Alligator mississippiensis: one gene and its partner. The main gene of each other region encodes a partner of the protein of the gene in region 2 in a complex. Links are inferred from orthologs where the notes say so. Each region holds a gene or a part of one and is shown on either strand. Other genes may lie near its edges. The genes, in order: STRADA and CAB39.

Region 1 (12,152 bases), on a different chromosome or scaffold from region 2:
CATACAGATGTATATAGAGGGTTTTCTGTCTGCAGTTTTCTGTCAGATGGTTGAATTGGTTTCTGTCTGTTTTAAAAAATAATAATAATAACTTGCAATATCCCTTGAACTTTTTGCGATTGTTCTGGGTTTAGTTAAAAAACAAGCAAAAAAAACCAAAAACAAGCAAAGACTAGTCATTTGTGCCAGCGTAACATATCAGCGCTTTGATTATTAGATTTTGTTTCTATTTAGAGGTGGGGGGCAGTTTTCTTTTAAGTTTAGGGAAAGGAAAACATAGATCCCCATGTGACTAGTAAATTGCACAGTAAACATTGTTTAGTGTGTATTTATATGCTTGCCTGCATCAAGCTTACTTAAAAAGGTGCAAAACTTAGAGCCTCTATATGGTATGAATATTTCAGGGATATAAACCAAGCATAGTTTTAGGAAAATCATTTTTTGAAAAACAAAAGGCACTGAAACAGTATTTCATAATCTGTAGGCTTGATTGGCATAGACAAAAGCTGTACATCCGTTATGTATCAGGGAATGGCATACAGGAGCACTGTTTCTTTCTTGTAGTTCTGAATGCTGCAAGCTTAATACAATGTGAATTCTGTACTTGTAAGTGTGTTTCTTATGAAGTGAGTGCATGGTGAGCTGACAGCTTCATTTAGAGTTTCATAAATATTTTAAACTTTACAAAGTCACTTCTTAAATATTTTCCTCCTGGTCTGAGCAGCTGCTGCCTATTTAACGTTCACCCAGAAGCTAGATTCTCAGTGAAATATCTGTACAATTTCCCCTTCTACCAACTAAGGGAAAACTCTATAGAAGATAAGCATCTTTTTCATCTGTTAAAAAGGCTGTTTACTTCTGGATTTTCAGGTTGGTTGGTTGGTTGGGGGGAATAGACACCTGCGCAAGCACCTAGCTGTCTGTCAAAGCTTTTGCATTTTATAAATGCTTCCTATCTAGAAGGCATTTTATTGTTGCTTGTAAGGGACACTCTAGTTTTGTGAGGGGATAATCTTTGTCTTTTGCATTTTCTTGTTTAATGCTTTATGTGCAAAACTTGTTCTGAGGCAATAACGATGACTTGCTGTTGAAACAGCATGTGCTAAAAGACTTTTTGTTGCAGCATGAGACGCTTCTTCACACTAATCTGAATGCAGAAATCTGTAATATGATACATGCAAATATATTAATTTTATAATAATTGGTGAAAAATAATTTAAGCCAAAAATTAACATAAGATTTATGTGGAATTTAACTATTTTAGCATTACTTAGCTTTGAAGAATGAGATTTAATATAGTATTTCACAAAGTTCTTTTAAAGAAAATACCATTAATTTGTGCTCTTTTCAATAAATGGAAAGCTTTCCTGAAGTCCCATGAACTTTTGGGCCATGGCAGCTAATTTTGTAATATGAACTACCTATGGAGAGTAAAATATAACTGAAACATTCCAACTGCCTTGACTTTGGACTCATTCCTTTTCACCATCTCGTATTACAGCCCTTACATTAAAAAAAAAAAAAAATCAATATTAAAACAACTTGCTATAGTTATATTTTTTTTCTCCACTCTTCTTCAGCCTAACTTCTTTGTGTTGCAAGAGTGTTGCCTTCTAACAGAAATTGTCGTGTTTGTCATTCGGGATGGAAATTGCCATATTTGTATCCTTCTCTTAGTAAGAAGAGAGCCAGCTTGTTTCAGATGATTTCAAACTTCTCACTTGGTATAGATGAAATGTAATTGTCCCAACACTAGATGTCAGCTCTTTCTTTTAAGGAACATTTCCTATTCATCTGTGTTTACAGCTAGAGGAAAATGGGATTCTAGAATACAGAGCATAAATCAGGTGGTCAAAATATAGCCTGTGGGCTAGATCTGGTCTGCTGGTTGATTGCATCTGACCCATGCCCTGTGGTGCACCGCATGGGGCTGAGCTCTGCCTGTTCCCGCCCAGGGTATCCTGTGCTGAGCTCCAGCCTGTACCTGCCCCATACCTGTTAATAGCCCCATAGCCCTGACCAGTGTGCACAGCTTCCTGGCGGGGCTGCTTCTAGTCACCTGCAGGCAGCTGCTCATTGTGTAGGGCAGACAGAGTGGGTAGAAGGTGGTTGGGAGCTGGAGCCCTGTGCACTGGGGCCAGGAGCTGGCTGCATGTAGCTGGGGTGACTGGGATGGCCACTACCAGTTTCCTGCACTACCTGCTGCCTGGACTGGTGCAGCAGGGGCAAAAAGGAGGAAGAGAAGCTGGGCAGCTGCAGCAGGAACAGCCCTGCCAGGAAGCTGCGTATGCTGGCACAGTGCCTTCGGTGGGAAAGAGCAAAGCTCGTCCCATGCAGAGTACTGTGGGCTGGATGCAGGGGGGAGGCAGACTGTATCTGCACTGCACCGCCTGGGCAAGTACATGTCCCCTCTCTCACCTCCATCCCTCCCTCCATCCCTGGCTGGCTGGCTTTCGGGACCTAGCATGTGGGTACCCCCACACACTCACCCCCTCCACCTCCACACCCCGTATACAAGAGTAAGACTTTATTTTGAGCTATCATGCAATTGCCTCTATATGCACTACTCAAAAAGCATAAATCAGGATAAAAATATTGTTTAATGAAATTAAAATATGTTTTTTTTAAGATGCTTGATTTTTAGCCATATGGGTTTTTATCTACAATTTGTTAAAATGGTATCTTCTGAAAGATTTTTGTGTGTGGCCGTCCACATCTCGCTAAAACTAGTTAAGTGGTTTGCCAGCCAAAACAATTGCCCAACCCTGGTGTAAATTCACAGCCCATTCTCGGATAGCTAACAGTGCTAAAAATCTTACAACAAAGTATTAATATTTTTAGGTGAAAGATGAGTCGCAATGGAGGCTTGTTATTTATTTGTTTATCTTCCATTTCAGTATTAAAATATTAATGGCGGTGGAGAATAATTAACACTTCTTGCATGCCTTGCAGAGATTTTCAGAATTTTGAGAGTAGTTTGGCAACTGAACAGAATACTTAAAGAAAAAAAAAAAGCATAAACCAATACTCCAGTCTTCCATATGCATTAAATTTAAAAGTGTTGGAGCATTTCAACTGTAGGGCAGTGTTGGGTTTCAGAGAAGCTTTTGAGTTGAGAGCTTCCTACCACCATGAAACTGATCTTCGGGATCACAACTGAGAACTTGGATGCAAGAGTCAGGAGATGAATCTCAGTGAAAATTTGACGCCACCTTTAATTCTATCAGTATCTATCCCTGTCACCCATGTAAAGTCCCATTCATATTTCCAAGATTGATCTATGCCCCTGAATCCATGGGTCTGTTCCCTCCACATCCAGGCACAATTTTCCTTTTCTTTTTCCTCTATAGATATGGAGAGAAGAGATTCCATTCCCCCCACAACCCTTCCCCTCCAACATACAAGACATCAGAAGCTGTATGAACTTGTCTGCATTTCTTGGTGTGTTACATAGCCTCTTTATGTGTTTTAGTTTCTGAGTCTATGGCAGGTGGCCCCTTCTGTGAACAGGCAGCAAAGCGAAAGATTTGGTTTCTTAGCTTTTGGAATTTTGGTATATTTTCAATATCCATCTCAGCTGCATGAGGCAGCATTATCATTTATTCTGGCATAGCTGTGTGGAACCATTGACTGCCTTGGACCGTTCTTCCTTGTAGGAATAATAGTTCTTAGCTACTTCTGGAAGCGTAAGTCTGCAGACTATGCCTTTCTGATAAACTTACATAAGCCTGATTGCAAGAACAGTGTAGAAGAATAAATGATACCTGATCTGAAATGAGGTGTTTTTTTTTCCCATTAACTAGTAATAATATCAGTGAGAGATGATCTTACCACCAACAATATTAAAAATGCTATGTGACTGAATCCTGCTCAAACTTGTTTAAGATTAACAGCTGACTCTATTTTTATACCCTGTAACAACTGAGATACCAACTGTTGTACTAAAGAAATTGAACTGTTTGCATAGCTGAGCTGGCTTTCCCATTTTTCTTTTCCTCTAACAAATGCTTTGTGTTGAGTTGGTAGTGTTGGAATAATGCAGCCATGATGGCCTAGGAATTGTGAGGGGCAAGGATTATTATGACTGATACCTTTTTATTGGACCAGCCACATGCGGACTTAGAAAAGCTGCTGGATGCATTGCATCAGTCATCGGATCAGATTTGCATTCAGCAGAATTGTATTGCATTCAAAAGCTTGTGTAAGCATACCCCAGCCATGCAGTTGGTCAAACAAAACATGTCACCCGCTGTGGTCCTTGCCTCTTATACTGACTTGTGCATCCTCTAGGACAGAGGTTCTCAAACTGGTCTGGGGGCCACCACTGGTCCGCGTGCTCCATTCAGGTGATCTGCAGAAAGGCTGCGGAACAATCAAGAATATCTGTACTTGTAAGACAGCTGATATTAAAATATGAGTTGCGTGCTTTGATTTGTAGAATGAAAAAAAGTTTAGCTGAGATCCTCAACAATTTTCAAGTGGTCTGCAAAAAAAAAAAAGTTTGAGAACCACTGCTCTAGGAATTTTAGAGGAAAGGTGCAGCCCTTTATGAAGCTGTCCAATATAACTTGTAGTGATGGACTGTTACTAGTGATGCAGGTTCTGGCCTTGGGCACGGCCTGTTTGACCTGAACATGTTACTGAACTTCTTTGCCTTGGCATGACCATTATGATGCTGAGCTCCTATTTAAGCATGAATTAAACCAGTGAAGTAGGTAACTGAAGTTTTAAATACTGCTTTGAGGTCCTTAAATGGAAATCACTGTAATGGTGTAAAATTGCCTGCTGTTTATGTGCTTTGTGATGACAGGTGCCCCTTGCTGCTCTGAGAGAAAAGTGTGAGACTTGACACAAAACGGCAGCTGGTAGGAGAACGGAGGGTGGCAAAACTGCCCCCAAGGGCTGTCTGGCTCAGGCCCGGGATGCAGTGTTACTCTCCTCTAGGCTCCCTTCGCTCATGTTAAACAGCGACTGCCTGGCCTGCAAACTCTCCCCAGCAGAGACCAGGTGTTGCCAGGTGTACGATAATTAGCATGTTTGTACAATAGTTTCAACCCTTGTACAACATACGATCAATAATAGTACAAACGTTCAAAATGCATGGATAATTTTGAGGCAGCTCATTGATGCAGCACATTCATCACCCACGTCACTCTCGGGATGTCTTAACTGAGGTTTGGGCTTGCTCCCAGCTCGCTCTCGCCACAAAGGGACTTTGATCCCGAAAGCTTGCAGAAAAGGCCCATTTTCTTGCGATTTCCCAGTTGGTCTAATACCAGCTATCATTTTGGAACCAAGAGTTCTAGTTTTTTTGTACGTCTTCAAAATAAAGACTGGGTTTTCGGTCATAGTCATGTTGGTCTAAGGACATGAGCAGGCCAGGGTCTCGGGAGTAGATGTGATCTCTCTTATTAGACCAACTGAGTAGTGGAGGGGAAACAAATTTGGCAAGCTTTTGGGTGGGGCGGGGGGTCTGCTGGCCTGAGGCTCCAAGGAATGAAGACACGTTTCAACGCTGCTGCCCCAGTTCTCGCTCACGGGCGAGTCCCAGCGAGCAACGTCAAATAAAGATGACTTGCCCGCATGTGTATGTCCGGGTTTCTCCAGCGCACGGCCGGCTTCCCGCACACGCGGCATTTCCGAGCGTCCCAGGCGGGCCTTTCCTACTTCAGACCCACGGAGCCCCGCGGGCAGCACCTAGTCCCTGCCGCGCGCTCCTCCGCTCCGCCCCGCCCCCGCGCAGAGGTCACGGCGGCTGTCACGCACGCGTCACGTGGTGGCGTCATCACGCCGCGCACGCAGCTCTGCTGCGTCCCGGGAACCGGCGCCTGGAGCCCGAGGAGTGAGCGAGTGAGTGAGTCCGCGCGCCGGGGCTCCTTGCCACTGGGTCCTGCACCCCCTTCCCCTCCCCCGGGTCCGGAGTGGCCCCGGCCCTCGCGGCCGCTTCTCCGCAACCTTCCGTGCGCCCCCCTCGCCGGGAGCCGGGAACGACCCGCGTCCCCGGCCCGGCAGCGCCCGCCCGTGGGAAGCAACAGAGTCCCGGGTCGCGCCCGAGCAGCACGACGGGCTCCCCGCGCAGTGCTCTCATTTCCCGCCTGCCGCTGCCGCCGCCTTCCAAATGGCTGTGCCCCGTGTCGTGCTGCCAGGGGGTCAGAGCAGCGCTTCTCGACCAGGAGCCAGGCCCCCTGCGCGGCTGGGAGATCCTCTGGGCCACCGGCGCCTCTTGGATCTGGGGGGGACCAGCAGAAGCCACCGATGGGCCCGGCTGGCAAGCACCTGCAGAAGCTGCCAATGGTGGTGGCCTTGTCAGGGAGTCGCACCAGCCCTGCCCACGTCAGCATCAGCTGTCGGGGGTGGGGGGCACTGGCCCTGTCGTGGGAGTGGGGCATGAGCACCCCTATGCACCCACTACCAGTTGCCTGTCAAGGGCAGTTAGCGTCACAAACCTGATTCGCCAGATAAACTGTTTCTCATCTCTGAGGGGTCTTTCAGAGTTCTTTGCAATGGAAAAGCTGCTTTCTTCTTTTTCTGTAGGCAAGAAAAGAGCGAAAACAGCATTGGCATTTTTGAGGGCTGCCTTGAGTCTATCCAGTGAGACCCCTGGGTTTAAAGAAATGATTACTGAAGGTTTGCAGGGCTGGACCTGGCTCGAGCCCGTAATGCTAGGTCAGCGATGTGCAGCCAGGGAACTGCGGCACCCTAGGATGCTGCAGGATCCTTTTAAGGGTGATGCACAGTATTAGCACTGTAAGTGTTTGCACACCTAACACATGATTCACCACATAAACTCATGTATTTTCTAATAGGCTTCCTTAGCATCAGAGACATTCTGATCTGTTGAGGTCTTTCTGAGTTCATGCAACAGCAAAATTGTCCTATTATTTCTCTGTAGTCAAAAACCAAGTGAAAGCTACATTGTTGGCACTTCCAAAGGGGCCTTGGGTCTAACAAGGGGTTCCTTGAGTTTAAAAAGGTTGAGAACCTCTGTGCTAGGTACTGTGCAAACACGCCATGAACATCCTTTCCCTAAGGAACTTGCTGGGTATTGGTCTGTGCATTGCATGGTAATCAATGTGTGATAGAAGATGTTTGGTAGGTTGTTTAGGTTCATAAATACTGGTTTTCAAAACTTGCTGCTACATGTTGTACAAATAACTGATTTCTCTTTTTCCTATTTTCAGGATATTTTTAATTTCACAAATTTGGAGTATTACAAATCTGGATTCCATGTCTTTTCTTGTAAGTAAACCAGAACGCATTAGGGTGAGTGTTATATGCCTTTTAGTTTTATTCCAAATAGCACTGCATCTGTATAAATTGTTCACTTCCATACATGAAAAGGTTGCAGGAATGAGGCCTGGGACTCGAGTGCCATTTGGACACAAGGTCTTCAGGGTTCTTATTACCTGAAACTTATGACCTGAAAACTAGATTTTTAAGTTTATTTCTAAAAATGCCTACTTGCAGAGGGAGAAATACTTCTAGAACCTATTGATCTCTGAGCAAGGTACTATATGTGCTTACAATGTGCTTGTATAATATGATAATAAGCATTCATTCTCTTCAAGTATTGGTCATTCAGTAGAACCTTATTACAAGGAACCATTTTTATAGCAAATCCTCCCTTTAACAGTCCCGACAACAGGAACCAATTTTTTTCATTAACTTTATTATAGCAAACACCCTCTTAATGAATTCTTCTCTTGAGTCCATGGCAGTTTGTTATAATGAAGTTATACTGTTTTTGCTGTTGTACAGTTGTGGTTTTATATAATTCCTTATAATTGAGAAAAATTGCAGAAATATTAGTCTTCCACCTCCTTTCTCTTTGAAAACATGCTTTTGGTTGGCCTTAGCGCATATATTTTGGTTATTGTTCTAAACTTAAAATTCATATAGAAATTTTATATTTAACTTGAATGTTCCTTTTTTAATGGTTGGAACAGGACAGCTTTGTTCTAGTGCTTAAAAATCAGGCAGCAAATAAAATAATTAAAATTAAAACTTGAAAATAAGTTACATGGAAAATGACTTAAGGATGTATTTTTTAATATAAAACACCAATACTGCAGGTAGGGAAATGCATCTTAAATATCAATTTAATTTTTTTTAACCTGTATGGAGTTGAACTGAAAGATCAGAGCAACATGCCCATCAGTCTAACTGCTACCCTGAGTTTTAAACATTGTTCAAAAATGTTCTTTTGAAAGAAGCTAACGCTTCATTAGCATGTGTACTTTTACTTTTAATATTTAGTTTAACTGATAAAAATAGACCTCTCCAAGGCAGTCGGCATCTAAACACATCATAAGAACGTTTACGAGCACTAGAATGTTTTGCAAGAGTAGGAGTATGAAGTATAGCATGTTTTTTGGCCTGAGAGTGTATTTGGCCTTATTTGCTAGTGTAGAGCTTCCAGATTGAGTGATATGAAGGTACAGTAGAATCTGAATCTTCTGTAGCCAAGTAATTCAAAACCCACTTAATTCACAGTGGTTGCTGAATTAAGGATGAGCCATTCAGCTGTTTGCTGTGGCTGGTGTTCTGAAGGATGCTGTTTCTCTACTCTGCTGGAGCGCCACAAGTTGTCCATCACAGTTGATCAAAAAGTGATGCCTTTTGAAATAAAACAGCAGGAAAGAGATGGAACACTCAGGAGTCCTGCTCAACTTTTCTGCAGCTCTGTATACCTCTGGTTACTTCATAGACCCTCATCTTTGCAGGGAGTAAGGAATTTAAATCCCTCAGAGTATCTTGAACCTCATGAATTTGAAATGCAGGGGACCAAAACATTTCAAAGTCAGTATAAAAGGGTTCAAATTATCCAAATTACTGTGGGTACATACAGACTTAGTTCACCTGCATGCAGACATTAGTAACTGATAATAACTGAGCCGCTATCCCAGTGACTAATTAAGCATACTTTATGGTATGCAGCACAAGGAGTTCCTATTGTAGAACAACAGCAATGATCGAGGGACACTTTCTCTAGTTAGCTCAGTCTAAGTGCCAGCACCGTCTGCAAATTTGCCATCCCCAATTCCACCAAACTGTCCTCCTCCCTCTCCCCCAGTATACCCGCTGGCACTAACCCCTGATCGTGCCAAACTGCCCCAATCCTACCAAACTGTTTCCAAGAGTTTATGGTCCAAGGGACCAGAAAATGACTTCAAATTGCAAGATAGCCATATTTCAAATTTTCTATATCATAAAGTATACAAAAACGTATCTTTTCAGCTGTGAGTGACAGTAGCTTTGAAGGATCCAATACTTTAAACTATCTGATATTGAACTAACAAAGTTTTTCCTATACTAACTGCTCTGGAATCTTACATTATCCAGAAGTTGGTTGTGTGCTGCCAGTGGGTGTATGCCATTATACAGATATGGGAATGTTTGCCATTTGAAATAGAAATAGTTGGTTATGGCAGATTGGAAGAGGAAGGAGGAGGGGGATATCTCAGCTGATCAATGAGCTCCTGTTTGTACTGTGCAAGTGTTAGACTAGTTAAGTCATTGGTATAATTCTGTCTTGGGTGATACTGAAAAAAAAAGCTGGTGAATGTATCTAGAGAAAATAATTAACTGGCTTTGGGGTTTTCTTCTTTAGAGGTGGGTGTCCGAAAAGTTCATTGTTGAGGGATTAAGAGAGTTGGAGTTGTTTGGAGGTAAGTACTGTTTTGTTTTTTTTAGATCCTTCAATAGAAATCTTGTTTATTTTGAACGTGAAGGTACCCATCAGTTTGGTGTAAATTAATGTCTAACTGCCACCGGAATTAACATATCAATTTGTAGTACTAAGTTTTCAGATTGGCTCACAAAAGTGAATTTAGAAGGAAAATAATTTGTCATATTATATACAGGAGTTGCTTTACAGCCTGTTGTAGTGCAGGTGTCAGGACCTTTCAGTTCATGGTTCATAACATTGTCTGAATAACCTGTTCTCTGTGTTAAGTACAGATTTTGAGCCTGAAAAAGTTACTTGCAGCTTGTTAAATTTGCAAGTAAAGACAAATGTTAAAACAATAACCTTACAACTTCCCAGTATAGCTGACACACAGTGAGCTGGGTTCTGTTCTGCCTCATACCTTATCACAATTGGCAGCTGAATTCTGGTCATAGACCCTCTGGTAGGTGATGTAAGCAATGAAAGGAAGATATTTGAGGTGGAGAAAAATCCATTTTACTGATGAATTGAACAGATATGATCTTTCCATGTTTGGCTTTGTAACTACATTGAAACACATTTTTCTATCAGATGTTGTTAGACTCTGTTCACTTTCACCATGGTTACAAGCCAGTACCATTTAACAGAAGTCCTTAGTATAGCTTTTGAAAAATATTCCTGCTAACTAGGCATCAAAACCAGATTGGTTGTACTGCTCAGTAGTGTGTTAAGCTACAGGGATACCAAAACTGTTTTAGAACCTGACTGTAGCTAGTACATCTTTGCTGATGATGAGGCCTGGACTATTTCCAGGGTTTTTGTTTTTTCCTGACTTACCAATGCTTCTTAGAAGAAATAACTTGTAAAATATCTGCCACAGTATAAAAAATCTGATTTAGAACCCTTTCTCTGAGTAGCTCTTAACCCCAGTATAAATAATGTAATTACATCTGATTTTAATGTGACTTGTACTTGGGTTGAGAGTGGATCTACTGCATTTATCTAAGCCCCTTGCTGCCTAGCAACACTGTTAGAAGTAGCCTAAGAAGGTTCAAATAAGATTTTTTGGTACTTTAGGAGATGTGGAATTCTGCAAAATATTTCTCCGTTTTCTGCATCTCTCTTGTATGTGTTGTTAAACATTCTGAGATATTATTTAAGTAAATTTTCCCCCTAAATATGTAAATACATCCATATCATCATCTTTTAAAAAATGGATTAAAGATCAGAAATTTAAAAAAATGTATGGCTGATGATGAGGCTGTTTGAATCTGTTTAATTTCTATGCTTTTTTATTACATTTCTACCTGTACCATTCTTGATGTTTTTCATGCTGTTTGTAACTTACCATTGCAAATTTAATTGTAAATTTAAAATGTTCTGCCTGGGAGTGTTTACCTGTGTGTGCCTAGCACCAAAAGATTACTTTTGGGTTATTTACATATCTGTTGAAGAAAACATGGTGAACGATTAATTTCTTTAATCCAGAGCAGCCTCTGGGTGACTCTCGGAGAAAAGTAAGTGATTTTTTTTGCAGGCTGTGGTGCTGTGTTTTATTGCATGGAGATATTTCCTTGTGGAAGCTTGATTTTTCTTTTTACCTTATTTATATGTCATCTATAGATTTAGATTACATTTGTGGAAACAGGTTTCACCCTGGAAAGCAGATTTTGGTGTGTAGTTTTGAAATGCTCGCATGTGGTGGTTCAGTCATAATTCTAAAATTTATTCTCCAAAGCTCATGTTTTCAAATTGGTTACTGCTTCTGTATACTACACTTAAGTTGTCTTGCATTTGTTTCTCAAAAGCACCAAGCACCTGTAGTCCTATTTACCTAAAATCATTTGAAGCTCTGTGTGTCCTGAATGTTTGAAAATTGGGGCAGCGTTTCAGGTTGAACATTCAAAATTGGTACCTACTTCTGAACATTTTTACTATAATTTCCTTTCTTTACTTTCTACCAATTCACCAAAAGAGGACCCAGCATCAAAAAATAAAATTGGATAATCTTCAGTTTTAAAGGGGCTTTACCCTGCAAAATTCCATTGCGATTGCTATCTGTCTGACTTGCTTCAGAGCCCACATTGCCAAAGTTTCATGCCTTTAACTGGTGCTGCATTTTGCATAGACTGTTTCACATTCTTAAAGATGAAATCTCCTGTGGTGCCATGAAATACAAACCAAACATGTGATATAGTCAAAAACAGGACAGTTTGGACTAGTCTAGTTCTTGTGGTCCTGGCCACAGAGGTTGTCTTAGCCTTTAAATTGGTATTAAATAAGCGATAATTCTGATAATGATAACTTTAAGCTCAAATTTATGTAACAATTTAGCTTATGCCTACAATTTTACTTGTGCAGACTAAACGGATAAAAGTCAGGGTTATATTGGATTTGGTGTTTCCAGAGGATATATCCTCAGTTTAAACTCATTGTTTTACAGTGATGTCTTTTGTTAGGTTGTTGCAAGATTGTGTTTAGATTA
Region 2 (11,822 bases):
TTGAAATTCCAAGCTGTCCATTTCCATGAATATTTGTCATAATTTTGATAATGTGCCTGAAGAGACATAACATCACTAGAGATTTACATTTCTGTACACTATCTTCACATATTTATTTAAACACTAACTGAACTAGTCTTTCCTACAAACATGTATACCAAACTCAGTGAAAAACTAGCCATTTTAAAACATTTGACTGCAGTCCCAGTTCTACGTTGCTCAGCCGTTTTGAGGTGTGGAAAATGTAATTAGTTTTTGCTTTAGTTAACTGTTGACAATACTGCTTTTAGTAATAAAATGAAGTACTGTAACATTTGTTTTCAAAGCTAGTAAGAAATGGTAACAATTCTTTATAACAAGGTGGTAACCAAAAGCATTACATTGAAATTTATTTCACTTACAAGGTAATCGGTGTATGAAACATTTAAAACCGCACTCAAAAGAGAAATTCTGAAAAGCCAAATCCTACTGTTCTGAACTGATATATTTAAATATATCTGCACTAAATAATTTTTTAGGTTTCAGGACCGTCTTACAGGAAAGATAAACTGAACCCTTTTTTATGAAAACTTGAAGAGGGAGGAGTACGCAGGACATCTGCGCAACAAATCCGTTTTCAGCAACAACTCACCAATAAAACTGGCACTTAATTGGAAGTAGCGTACCATTACTAGTAAGTGGGCATTAAATGGACACGAGCTACAGTGTTTAGTTTTCCCAAAAAGTTATGTCTTTGTCTATGAGTTTTCCAGAGATATCTCAAATTCAAATTATACCCAAACAGCTCACACCTCCTTTTTGCCTATTTAAACTCTATAGTTTGAAACTTTTTATAGTACCCTGTGACCACATAGGACACTAGCTAACACTCAAAACCGGGGAGTCTGATTGCACGTTGAGCCAGTTTATTTAAAACCTGACAAAAAAAATTACTTCCTAAATTGATGTTTTGATGTTACTTGGGAAAAAAAATAAATAGGTCATGATGTATTCTGAGTTATGACCATGTTTGCTTCTGTATGCACTATGTGGCTACTTCCAGAGTGATTCAATACTGAACTTGTTCCATTTTACAAGGTATTTGAACAGTGAAAACTGAAAACAACATTTTATTACTTGGCAAGATAAAAAGAGCATGCAAATTTGTTTAGCTCCAATACCCAACTCACATGACTAGTTATTAGGTGCTCAGTGCTTTGGAATGTCAGCCACTTATTAAGATAAATATGGCAGGAAGGAGCTAACCACAGAACTTTAAAAAAAAATCTTGACCAAGGTTCTTAGAACTAAGCAAGACAGCGTCACCTTCTTATTTGGATTTTTGGTATATTTGCTACAATTCTCTCCTTCTCATTACTAGAGTATCATTACTACAGTATAATTTAGTTTCATTTACATTGACAAAACTCTTAAAATGCAACAAGGGGTTCAAGGAGAGAGAAGCAAATAGAATTAACCTGCAAAAAATCATAATAAAGAATACACCCAAATTAGTAAGAGAGGTGGTTAGTCTTGTTAGTCTTAAATCAAGCAGCAGGTAGAGCCGGGTGGCACCATAAGAACCTAAGCAAAGAAGTAGCTTAAGAAACAGTTCTCCTGCTTAAAGCAGCACATTTCCTGAGGTCTAATAAGAATATCTAGCATGTCTGTGCTCCAACTACAACTATAAAATAAACCAGAATATATGATGCCTTGTGCCACTCAACTGCTCGCATGCAATTAATTTAGAAATTCTGTTCCCCAGCCTTTGTGAATGCTTTTCAATAAAAAAGCTGATGTCCACAGGGTATGATGGAAGATGTCAGGGAAATTATGATTCTTTTATGATTATGTGGCCGAGCTGACAATTATGTTGCTTGATTTTCCTGCCTTTTTGTTCTTGTTATTGTCTTGCAAATAGTATTCATCTCATTTTTGCTCATAAAAGCAGCAGAGAACCTTGGAAGGCATCTGAAGAGTAGAAAATGGCAAATCTTAATGTGTTTTTAAATAGTTATTCTTGTAACCTTATCCCATTAACATGTGTTTTTTTTACCAGCATTCCAGTTGCTGTGAAATCTTTTCATTTTAGTTACTATTTTTAAGGAACCCAGAATTTTTCTATGGCAATTAATAAGTCTTGAAACAAGGCCTTAAAAGTTTAGCTTAAGCCCTTAATATGCTTAAAACTTAAGTTATTCAGCTCTGTACCTAATTCTAAATAATGATCTCATTTTAACAAACTATTCTTTCCACAAACAATTCACATGACGGGAAACTCTGGGGAAACGGCACTACCTTGGAATTCTAGTCTTTACAAAGAATTTGAAGAACCAAGAAAGTACGCAGCACAAACAGTAAGGCCTACTTGAATAGCACCAGTTAATTAGAGAAGCTACAGTAATAACTTTGACGGTATGATGCAAGAAATATCTAATTCCCCCCTGAATAAACATTTTATAATAGCAATCAAGAATTCCAAGAGGTGGAGTTTTCTTAGCATAAGCACACCCCATTGGGAACAAACATTTGTCTGTGCCTGATAATACCCAAGGAGTATAATTATCTCTCAAAACCATACTGTCATAGAGTATTACTGAACTACCATATTAGAGTTTGCCTCCTTTTATTAATGTAGAAAAAATATGCATATCCCCAGTAAAACCCTACAACTTCTAGGCCAGCAGTCTCCAACCTTTAAGCAGGAGATCACCTTTGGCATGTAAAAGCAACCCAAGAACTATGGTGTGCTGTTGCCACTCTCCCCCCTGCCCAGCAGGTAAGTCTGTGGGGTGGGAAGGGGTTGAGGGGTAGATCGAGGCAGAAAAAGAAAAAATTATTTGGGGGCATGCCTCCCAAACAGATAAGTCCCACCGGGCCAGGGCACCACTCAACTTACCCCTTGTCCTGCCTCTGCGGCACTGTTCCTCACAGCGGGGGCCTTATTCTAGCCCCCACCCCTACCCTCTGCCATAGACTGACCTGCTGGGTTGGGGCACATGTGTTCATGCACGTGGGCACTCAGCCCCCGACCCCAGCCTCGGATTGACTCCAAGAGGCTCCGAGATCCACTGGTTGGCAACCACCGTTCTAGGCCTTTATAGCCTTGTGTTATTTGAAAATCCAAGATGAACCAGTAAAGCAATTTATCCTCAGAAAAATGCTTAAAGTCCTGGATTTATGTGAACGAGGAAGAAATGTGAAGACCCAATTGACAAAACTAGAATTTTAAGACACTGTGACAAAACCACACACACACACACACACACCCCCAACACGTATATTTTATTATTAGACACCTTCGCTGTTTTCTTTTATAATGTTAAGATACAATCTCACATTTTCCTGTGGTATTTCCTTTTCTGTCTATAAAAAAAAAGCCTGAACTGCTCACAGAATCACACTACCCATAAGATGCCAAGACAATAAACAAATAAACTTAAGTCAACTCTAGGCTGACCGGCTGGCTCAGTCGCTTCAAACATCACAAGATCACCAGTGAGCTAACTGAAAAAACAATATTCCTATAAGAGCAAGTCAAGGACAGACAATTGTACAAACAAACAGGGTCCTGGGATGTCTTTATCGTGATTTCTATTGTGTATCAACTGCACACAAAGTAATACATTGTCAAGAAATTCTTTTGACACTGAAACAACTACCACGCCTCTCCTAATTCACACAGCAAGTCCTTTAAGTCACTTTATACAACTAAAAAAAATCATCTATGTACAACAATATACGTTAGACAGAAGGCGTGCAGTTTTGAACCATTTGCTCAATAGAAATAACTATATTATTTAAGGGCAAACTAAACAGTTTGGCTGCCAGGGCTCATGTTCGGGGTGCTCCATTTTACCTGTAACATCCGACAGCACAAGCACCAAAATGCTCCAGGAAGACACATTTGCTGCTGAGCAGGGCCCGCACTCATGTCTTTGGATGGGACTGTTTGCAAATTTAATTACAGAAGTCATTAAGACCTCAAATATATATTTAAAGTTTCACAGGCCGCCTGCCTGACAGACAATAGGCTGAGACTCGACTTTTTTCTTTATCCTGTTCCCACAGATGTGCTTTGCTGATGAAAGCACACAAGGTCTCTCCAAGTCAAACACAAGGCTTCAACCCACCCTGTTTCAGGAGGGGACTCTTCTGTTCTCCAGTGACCCCCCCCCCCGCCCCGCCCCACCCCCACCCACCCCCGGGGGGAAGGGCCGTATCAGGGCCGCAGGGTGACAGGATTTAGTGCCCAGGGGGGTTGTGAGGCATCCCCCCAAACCCGCCGCGGGGCCCTGCTGAGAGCCACCACCAAGGCCCGAGGCCCGACTGCTGCAGGGCCCAGGCCGCGGCGCGGGCCGCGGTGACATGGAAAGTTTGAGCCCGGCGCACGAGCAGCTCCCCGGAGCAGGCGGCGGCAGAGAGACAACGGCAGCGGCGCCGGCCCGGACACCCACCCCGGGGGCTCCCTCGGCCCCGCACCGCACCCCCGCCCCGCACACCCGCCCGGGGCAGCAGCAACCGCTGCACGCAGCGGCCCCGCCGCGGGAGGGGAGGGGAGGGGAGGGGAGGGGCCGGCCCCGCACGGAACCCCGCGGCCCGGCCCAGCCCAGCCCGGCGCGGCGCAGCCCAGCGCGGTACCTGCGGCGGGGCTGCGCTGCCCGGCCCGGCCCGGCCCAGCCCGGCGCGGCGCTCCCTGTTCCGCGGCTGCGACGCTGGTGCCTGGTGCTGCCCGCCCGGGTGCTGCGCGGCGGCGCGGCCCTGCCCTGCCCTACCCTGCCCTCCCCGGCCCGGCCTCGGCGGCGGATCCCAGCGACGAGCCGGCAGCGGAGGCGGCGGCAGCCTGCGCCCCGCGGCCCGGCCCCGCTCGCTGCTGCCCCCGGCGGCGCGGCGGACTCGGCGGCGCGGCCTGGTCCCGCCCCGGCCCGCGTGAGGCGCCGCCCGCCCTCCACAGGAGGCAGCCGAGCCCGAGGGGCTGGGGCGGAGGCTGGAGGCGGAGGGGGGGCTTCAAGGCCGGGAGGCGTTGCCCGCAGGCCGGAGGAGAGGCCCAGGGCCTCGGGAGGATTCACAGCCCGGCCTGGCGCTGCTGCACTGCACGGGTCTGGTCTGGGATTTGCTTTTATTTAAGGAACATTTTTCGTGGCCCAAGTCAAATTAACCAGATCAGGTCCAAATCCGTTTGAATCATACAAGAACCACGTGTGGCCCTGCTCCGCGCAAGCAGCCCCCGCCCGCGGCTTCACATACTTCCAGGTCCTTTGGCGGGTGTCCTACGTGCAGGCCCCTGCCCGGAGGCGTTCAGGTGCCCGTGGCTTTCACTCGCCCTCAGCCCTCCGGCCACAGGAGCAAGCTAGGGCGGGGTCTCCCACATCAATAAATTTGGCGTGTAGCCGAGATCCTCTCGCTGGAAGCAAGTCGTAGGGAGTCCTGTGGGCAAGCAGACAAGGGTGCAACTCTGCTACACAGTGCCATTTTAATTGCATTACCTTGGTCAGGGCACTTCCCCTGCCACCATCATGGTCATGGTATTTCCCCTGCCATGTAAACATCTGGTGCTGGCGCTGCAGGCGCGTCCGGCCAGCTCTGTGCTGCATGCCGTGTGCGCCGGCAAGCCCATGTCCCTCATGCAGCACGCTGTGAATCTGGCACCACATGCAGTGTGCAAGGTCAGCCCGGCATGCACCGCATGTGGGGTGCAAGTCCACAGCAGCACAGTGGGCTGTATCCTTCACACCCCTCAATTACATCATTAAGCAATTGAACCAGTCTGACTGGAATACCCCCCCAAACCCAGGCCAGGGACCGAACAGCTCCCTGATAGGCTGCCACTTTCATTTTGATGAACTAGTTAGGTCATCACTTGCATAGGATGGTCTCCAACTAGCACGTGTTATATAGTACATGGGCCAAAGCCAACAGCGAAAGAACAATGCCATGGCATTTTAGAAGAAACACTCAAAAGACAGCCACAAGAAACTAAAATCTTATTCTGGAGAAACAAATGGAATGTGCCCCAAATTCCACATATTTGGACCAAAAAATATGTGCACATGAAAATCTCAGACTGGCTATAAAAGTATCACAAACAGCACCTCAGTGGACCATAATAAAGCACCAAGTAAACATGAACCTCCCATGAAATATTCAACAGAACACTTCTTTCTGTTTTCCTGTATGGGAGGGAGTGTGTTGCGCCCAAATAAGAAGCCTGTTTTAACTCTTGGGACAACCCCACAGAAGAAACTCCATTATGTGTAGTTTTGCAACAAATACTTTTATGTACTTCAAAGTGTCATCAATAAAGCAGGGGGAGAGTTATGTCAATTCCTTCTATTCAACATAGACCCTCCCCCAACCAAATTCTAGGTGTCATATCACCCAAAGCAACAAACACTGCACCACAAAGTACTAAAGCAGTAGGAGCCAAACTTTTTGGCAGGCAAGCTACAAATTAGCCCTGAACCCTACCCAAATGCCACACCAACCGCTTCCCCTGCCCTGTCTGTTACTCTGTTTTCTACTTCCTTCCCTTTTCTCCCTGCCCAATGTGCTGCTTTGCTTTTCGATTCCTGCCCTATGTGCAGCTGCATTGCCTATCCCCTCCCTGATCTAACATGTGCCACACACAGAGGCTGCCCATACCACTTGTGCACCCATGCTGCAAGTTGGCCACTGTTATAGTTAGAGGTTCACCATTATATCAGTCCATATCGTATTGGGACCAATAAAGGGAAAATTGACATTATCTGTAACCAGCTTTTTTTGGCAGGTGTAGCCAATAATGTCACCAATAAATTCTGTGTGCATGCATGCAGCCGCAGCATGCACGTGGCCTTTGGAGAGCAGCGTCTGGCTGGTAAATCGGGGGGGGAGGGGTGTGTGGGGGCAGATTGAGGCCCCAGTGGTGAGGGTAAGGTGTGGGGCAGGGGAGGCACTCCCAAACAGGGGTGGGGTGGAGTGTAGGACAGAGTCACGGGCAGCTTGTCCAGGGATGGGGGGGAGGGGAGAAAGGGGGTCACTCCCACCACTATGCACACCCCTGGGGTGTTCCCTGACTCTGTATGCAGGATGAGGGGAGGCTGCCCACTGTGGACTTGGGGCCAGAGGCTGCATCAGTCTCTTCCTGGCTGGGGCTGAGCTAGGGCTGTGCTCAGGGCAGGTGGGGCAGGGCTGACGGGAGTGGTGCTGGGAGTGGGGGTTTGGGGGGACTACAGCAAATTTTGGGATGGCTGTAACTCCGCCCCCCCACCCGTAGCCCCACCTCCCAGCACCTCTGTTATCCACCCCAAGCACAGCCCCAGCCCAGGCCCCGCGGAGAAGAGGCTGGTGCAGCCCCTGGCCCCGAGCCCGCACTGGGCAACACTCCCTCCCCTCACACACGGACCCAGGGGCATATGGCCCCAAACCTCCCCCAGGGGTGCATGCACGGCAGGAGCCACCTTCCCTTCCCACCCTTCCAAACCCTCTGGATGAACCACCTATGGCTCCATCCCATGCCCCATCCTGCCCTGGCTGGGAAGCACCTGTCCCAGCCCCAGCTCCAGCTCCATGCCCTCCCTCACCATGGTGGCCTTGATCTGCCCCTCCCCCAGACTTACTGGCTGGGCACTGCTCTCCAAGCTGCCAGGCTGCATAATTGGCAATCAGATCAGTATCGGCTGATATGGCTGGTTAATAATTGGCCATCAGTATTAGCAAAAAAATCTTTATCAGTGCACCCCGAGTTATAGTGAAGGATCAGCTATGAGATCTAAATGAAAGCATGACTCGCTCACTGCTGTTTCACCACTCCCTGAGTTCAGCAATGCTAACCTGACCAACACAGCAAGTAGCCCCTTCCCACCATGTGGAACACATTTAGAGTACTTCCCAAGGTTGGGAGCACCTCTCTAAGGGGCATGAAGGAAAAAAGAGAAGGATCAGAAAATGTTTAAACTGACAAGGTTGGTCCTTTAGCAGCATTTAGCAACAGTTGAAGGGCAAAAATCAAGCTAATTTTCTTGAAGAAAGCTCAGCTTTTAAAAGTTTTGGAAGCACTGCACTAGATTAAAACTGAAAACAGCAGTGTATAACCCCTTGGGAGGAAAAATAAAAAACATTAATAGCTAGGACTGCTGAAAGTCCCTGTCACAAGAACAAGCTGCTTTGTTACTGTGAGATGTGCTAAGCCAAGTTAGTACCATTAAATATATTAAGACAAGGCAATTTCTCATCCAACATAGAATCAGTGACTATAAACTAGAGGTGGAGGCATGGATAGACTAAGTATAGCTCAAGCCCTGAGAGAAGCATTTTTTTAGCTAATCAGCAAAAAGAGAAGAAAGAGAGGGGGAGAGGGAGACTTTCTACGTCCATGTCCAAAACACAGGAAAAAGTAATAACGATGTTTGCACAAACTGTCAAGGATGATAAAAGACTTTTCACCAAAAAGTAATGACTCTCTTATCCATGCAACATTTGCCAAGGTGCGTGTGTGTATTAAAGTTGATATTTGATTGTATTCTGCTTACTCAGGCCTCTTTGATATTTGTCTTTTTATATAAATTCTTTAGGCTAGAAACATTCTGTTTGAGGAAGGGAAACGTGTTTCTACAGGATTTAAACTAATTGGAATCTGACTGACTGTGGCTTGTTGGCAATATTGTAATAAATACTAATATTAATACTGATAAGGGAAAAGAGAGAGATGCCAGTGAAAGCTTTCCCTTATCCAACACCCTATCATCTGATCCTGAAGGAATAAATATCACCTTGTGAAGCCCTGTCACATTGCTACATTTTAGCAACACTAGCTTAACTTGCCAATTAGTAAAACTAGTATGGAATTCAACAGAACTTGGATAGCCTACAAAATGAGCACTTCGTATCTCTCACATACATACTACTCACAAAAAGGGCCAAGTTGTTTGGAAGCAGGGAGTCTGCTTTAGGTTGCTCTCTACATTGTTTTTTTTTAATGTGAGCTGTGTCTAAATAGCCTTCAGCACTGAATTATCTACCTCTTGTTCCAACCAGTGCACTTCCACTGGACACAAAAATGTAAACCACTGTGTCATCTAACCCTGACCGGCTGGGGGGGGGGGGGGGAGGCAGGATAGGACAATAGTTTAAATAGTACAGCCACAAGCAGCTTTTCTGCACTGGCATTGCTGCTGCAGCTGGTACCCCACTCCTAGCAACTAGAAAAACATTAGAAGAAAAAAGATTCAGGCAGACAGAGCCATAGTTTTGGTTGGAAAGTTATTGTGGACAAGGATCATTTTGCTTCCATCTCAGTGGATCCCTTGTTTTGCCAGTATTGTTTTACCTTGCCTCTGTGGGCAGAAACCACATATTGGAGTCATGCAACTTAGATACAAGCAAGGAAAAACAACTTTGACCACAGCAACATCTCATCACAGTACTATTGCTTCCTTTAGGTGAGAGGTTAGCCAATATTTGAGACCTCATTGGGTTGTTGCCATGAAGAGGAGAAATCATTTTAGTCAGGTATATTTTTCAATGAATTCCTGTTTATTTCCAAATAACATACTCAAAGCCCTGTTTCCCTGAGCAAAGAAGGAACTAACAACAAGAAAGTTTCCTTATTCATACTTACAAGCTTTCTTCTCCAACCAATGCTATTTCGCAGGCCAGGGGATGGTGTCTGTCTACTCCTTTGCAGGCCATGCTCACACTTGCTTTTCTCACTGTCAGTTGGTTTCTTGAGCTTTGTGTGTGTCATGTCTACAAGATGCCCCAAGATCCCTCACTCCCTGCATTTTTTAACCAGTCTCTGGGAAATCCCTTTTATTCTGCCTGAATTATTCAGGCCTTGCCATGAAGCTCAGTCCCATAGGCTCTAGTTTTTATCATTTCCAGCTGTCAGTCTCTCAATACGTCTTAACTGATGAGAATGAAGCATATTTATCTCGCTTTAAAAAGGTCTTTGATTTCCTGATCAAAGACCTGCTTCACAGCAGCCCTTGCCGGCTTCTAACACAACTCAATTTAAACATAGTTATTTTGTAGTATGGACTACCACTAAGTTATTCCCTCTCTATCATCACCAGGCCTGAGGAAGAAAGGCCCTAATCTTGCATTACCCATCAACTACCTAACACTCAAGAGCATTTATGAGAACTAGTTGATGTCTATTGAATACTTTTTAGTGCTTTAGGAATCAGATTTGCCAGCCTATTCGAGTTGAGCGAAGTGGCCAAAAATGCCCAGTGAAAAACACTTCTGAGACAGAAACTCTGCAGGGCCATCACATTACCAGCAGAGTAGGCCTGTTGGAGGGATATGGACTGAGATAGGATGAAGCTTCATGACACCTATCCTCTGCTGGTGTGAGTAAGAGCAGCTTCTCCACTGCCCTAACTAACATGCCAGCCAGTACCTGCATCTAAAGAATGAAGCTTAGGCACTTGTAAGAACCAAGCCCTATGTGCCATTCAGCATGACAGGTTTCTAAGATAGCACTGACCTTGGACTCCCACTGCTTTATTTACTATAAGTCTTGTCCCATGGCTGGAGATTCTAAAAGATGACACCTGCCATTTCAAAGCCTCACAGAAGGCAGATATTTTAAAATGTTAAAAGCAGTCCAAAAAATGAGGGCGAAACCTTTCAAATAAAGAATATTTGCCATCTGTTTCTATATTTTTTTTACTGCATTAAATTGCCGCAAAAACTATTTTATTATTGGCTGGATTTATGCTGCTCTTTATTGGTAATTCTCCTCTTTGGGCTTTGTCTTATTCAATTCCAGTTAATTATTACTGTGCTTTCAACTTTTATTTTGCCAGGAGGCTGGGGTTTTTTTTTTATTGTAATGCTTACCTTACACTTTTGCCATATTAAGATCTTGAGTTCTAATGTGTTAAACTATTTGCCATATCATACCATATCAATTCTTGCATTCAGATTTCTGATGAAAAAATATCCCTGGGCTTTTCCAGAGACTATGTTGTACAAGGTTCAGATCATGTCTGCATCACCTGTAGGTAATATAATGCTGGATCTACACTAGCCTGGATTCTCTCTCTTCTATTCAATATACAAATACATATATCAAAGGTATGCTGTACAATAATTAACACAAACATAAAATACTACCGTAAAGCAGAAGAAAATGCATGTATGCAAGCCAGTCTTTAATTATGATTCATTCTGGGCTGGGGATGGACAAAACCTGCATATAGATTTCTGATATATTAATGCCTTCATGGCCTGATTTTCTAATGTATTATTAAGCTCCTCCTACATTATTGTTCTGCACATCTTGTGCAGCTTTTTCTGCCTTAAACTTCTGTTTAAATATTTTTGCCACATTACGTATCTCCTGAATTATTTTCCTGTGCTTCTCCTGTCACATTATAGTGATTGTCCTCTGCTGTGGACCCTAGCACCATTTTTCACTTGCATGAGAAGCTACTGCCTGGAATTATATCTGTCAAGTACAAATTTGCACATCTCTAAAACCAACTGTCAATGCTAGCACCATGGTTTCACTATTCATGTTCCTTACCTGGACATTTGTCACATGAAGGAAAGCTCCCTTATCTAGTCTTTAAAAAATTGGGGACCCAAATATTAAAGCTTTTAAGAGGCCCCCATGCAACACAGTATTTGTTCAATTATGTAACTTCAACACAAAGAAAGTCCCTGCTGCTGAGGGCAGTGTATACTTTAATACATTATAGCTAAAGAAATTTTCACATAGCTGTTTCCTCAAATCCTCCTCCTTTCTCTGATCATCTCCCTACCCAGTAAGATGAACAGAAGCCTGACAAAGTAGCTGCCAGGAGGCAAAGAACATGTCACTCCACAAAGATTTTATTTTCAATTGGCATCTGCTG

Evidence for each region.
Region 1: the proteins of CAB39 (region 2) and STRADA are in contact, whole or in part, in a crystal structure (PDB 3GNI), measured with the Homo sapiens proteins. The link is inferred for Alligator mississippiensis from reciprocal best matches to the Homo sapiens genes CAB39 and STRADA. Residues at the interface, in NP_001124321.1 of Homo sapiens: Leu26, Glu27, Lys28, Gln29, Tyr55, Gly56, Thr57, Asn58, Ala85, Asp86, Gln88, Leu89, Phe92, Glu93, Lys96, Arg107, Glu138, Leu141, Ile145, Ser176, Thr177, Phe178, Asp179, Ser182, Asp183, Glu221, Asn222, Tyr223, Val224, Arg227; in NP_001003787.1 of Homo sapiens: Pro64, Leu104, Glu105, Cys107, Ser108, Asn109, Val112, Gln116, Leu119, His120, Lys123, Leu124, Phe125, Asn126, Thr136, Phe137, Ile138, Asp140, Asn141, Leu143, Tyr185, Met189, His223, Gly224, Arg226, Val426, Asp427, Asp428, Trp429, Glu430.

What each region holds. Positions count from the first base shown.
Region 1 is NC_081827.1:158,676,874-158,689,025, reverse strand, and holds the start of STRADA (STE20-related kinase adapter protein alpha), read left to right. Parts: upstream 1-5,765; 5' UTR 5,766-5,842; intron 5,843-7,181; 5' UTR 7,182-7,227; coding exon 7,228-7,263; intron 7,264-9,610; coding exon 9,611-9,668; intron 9,669-11,155; coding exon 11,156-11,184; intron 11,185-12,152. UniProt on the Homo sapiens protein: Pseudokinase which, in complex with CAB39/MO25 (CAB39/MO25alpha or CAB39L/MO25beta), binds to and activates STK11/LKB1.
Region 2 is NC_081830.1:44,516,336-44,528,157, forward strand, and holds the start of CAB39 (calcium-binding protein 39), read right to left. Parts: upstream 4,779-11,822; 5' UTR 4,755-4,778; intron 4,744-4,754; exon of another isoform or gene 4,621-4,743; intron 3,939-4,620; exon of another isoform or gene 3,839-3,938; intron 1-3,838. UniProt on the Homo sapiens protein: Component of a complex that binds and activates STK11/LKB1. In the complex, required to stabilize the interaction between CAB39/MO25 (CAB39/MO25alpha or CAB39L/MO25beta) and STK11/LKB1.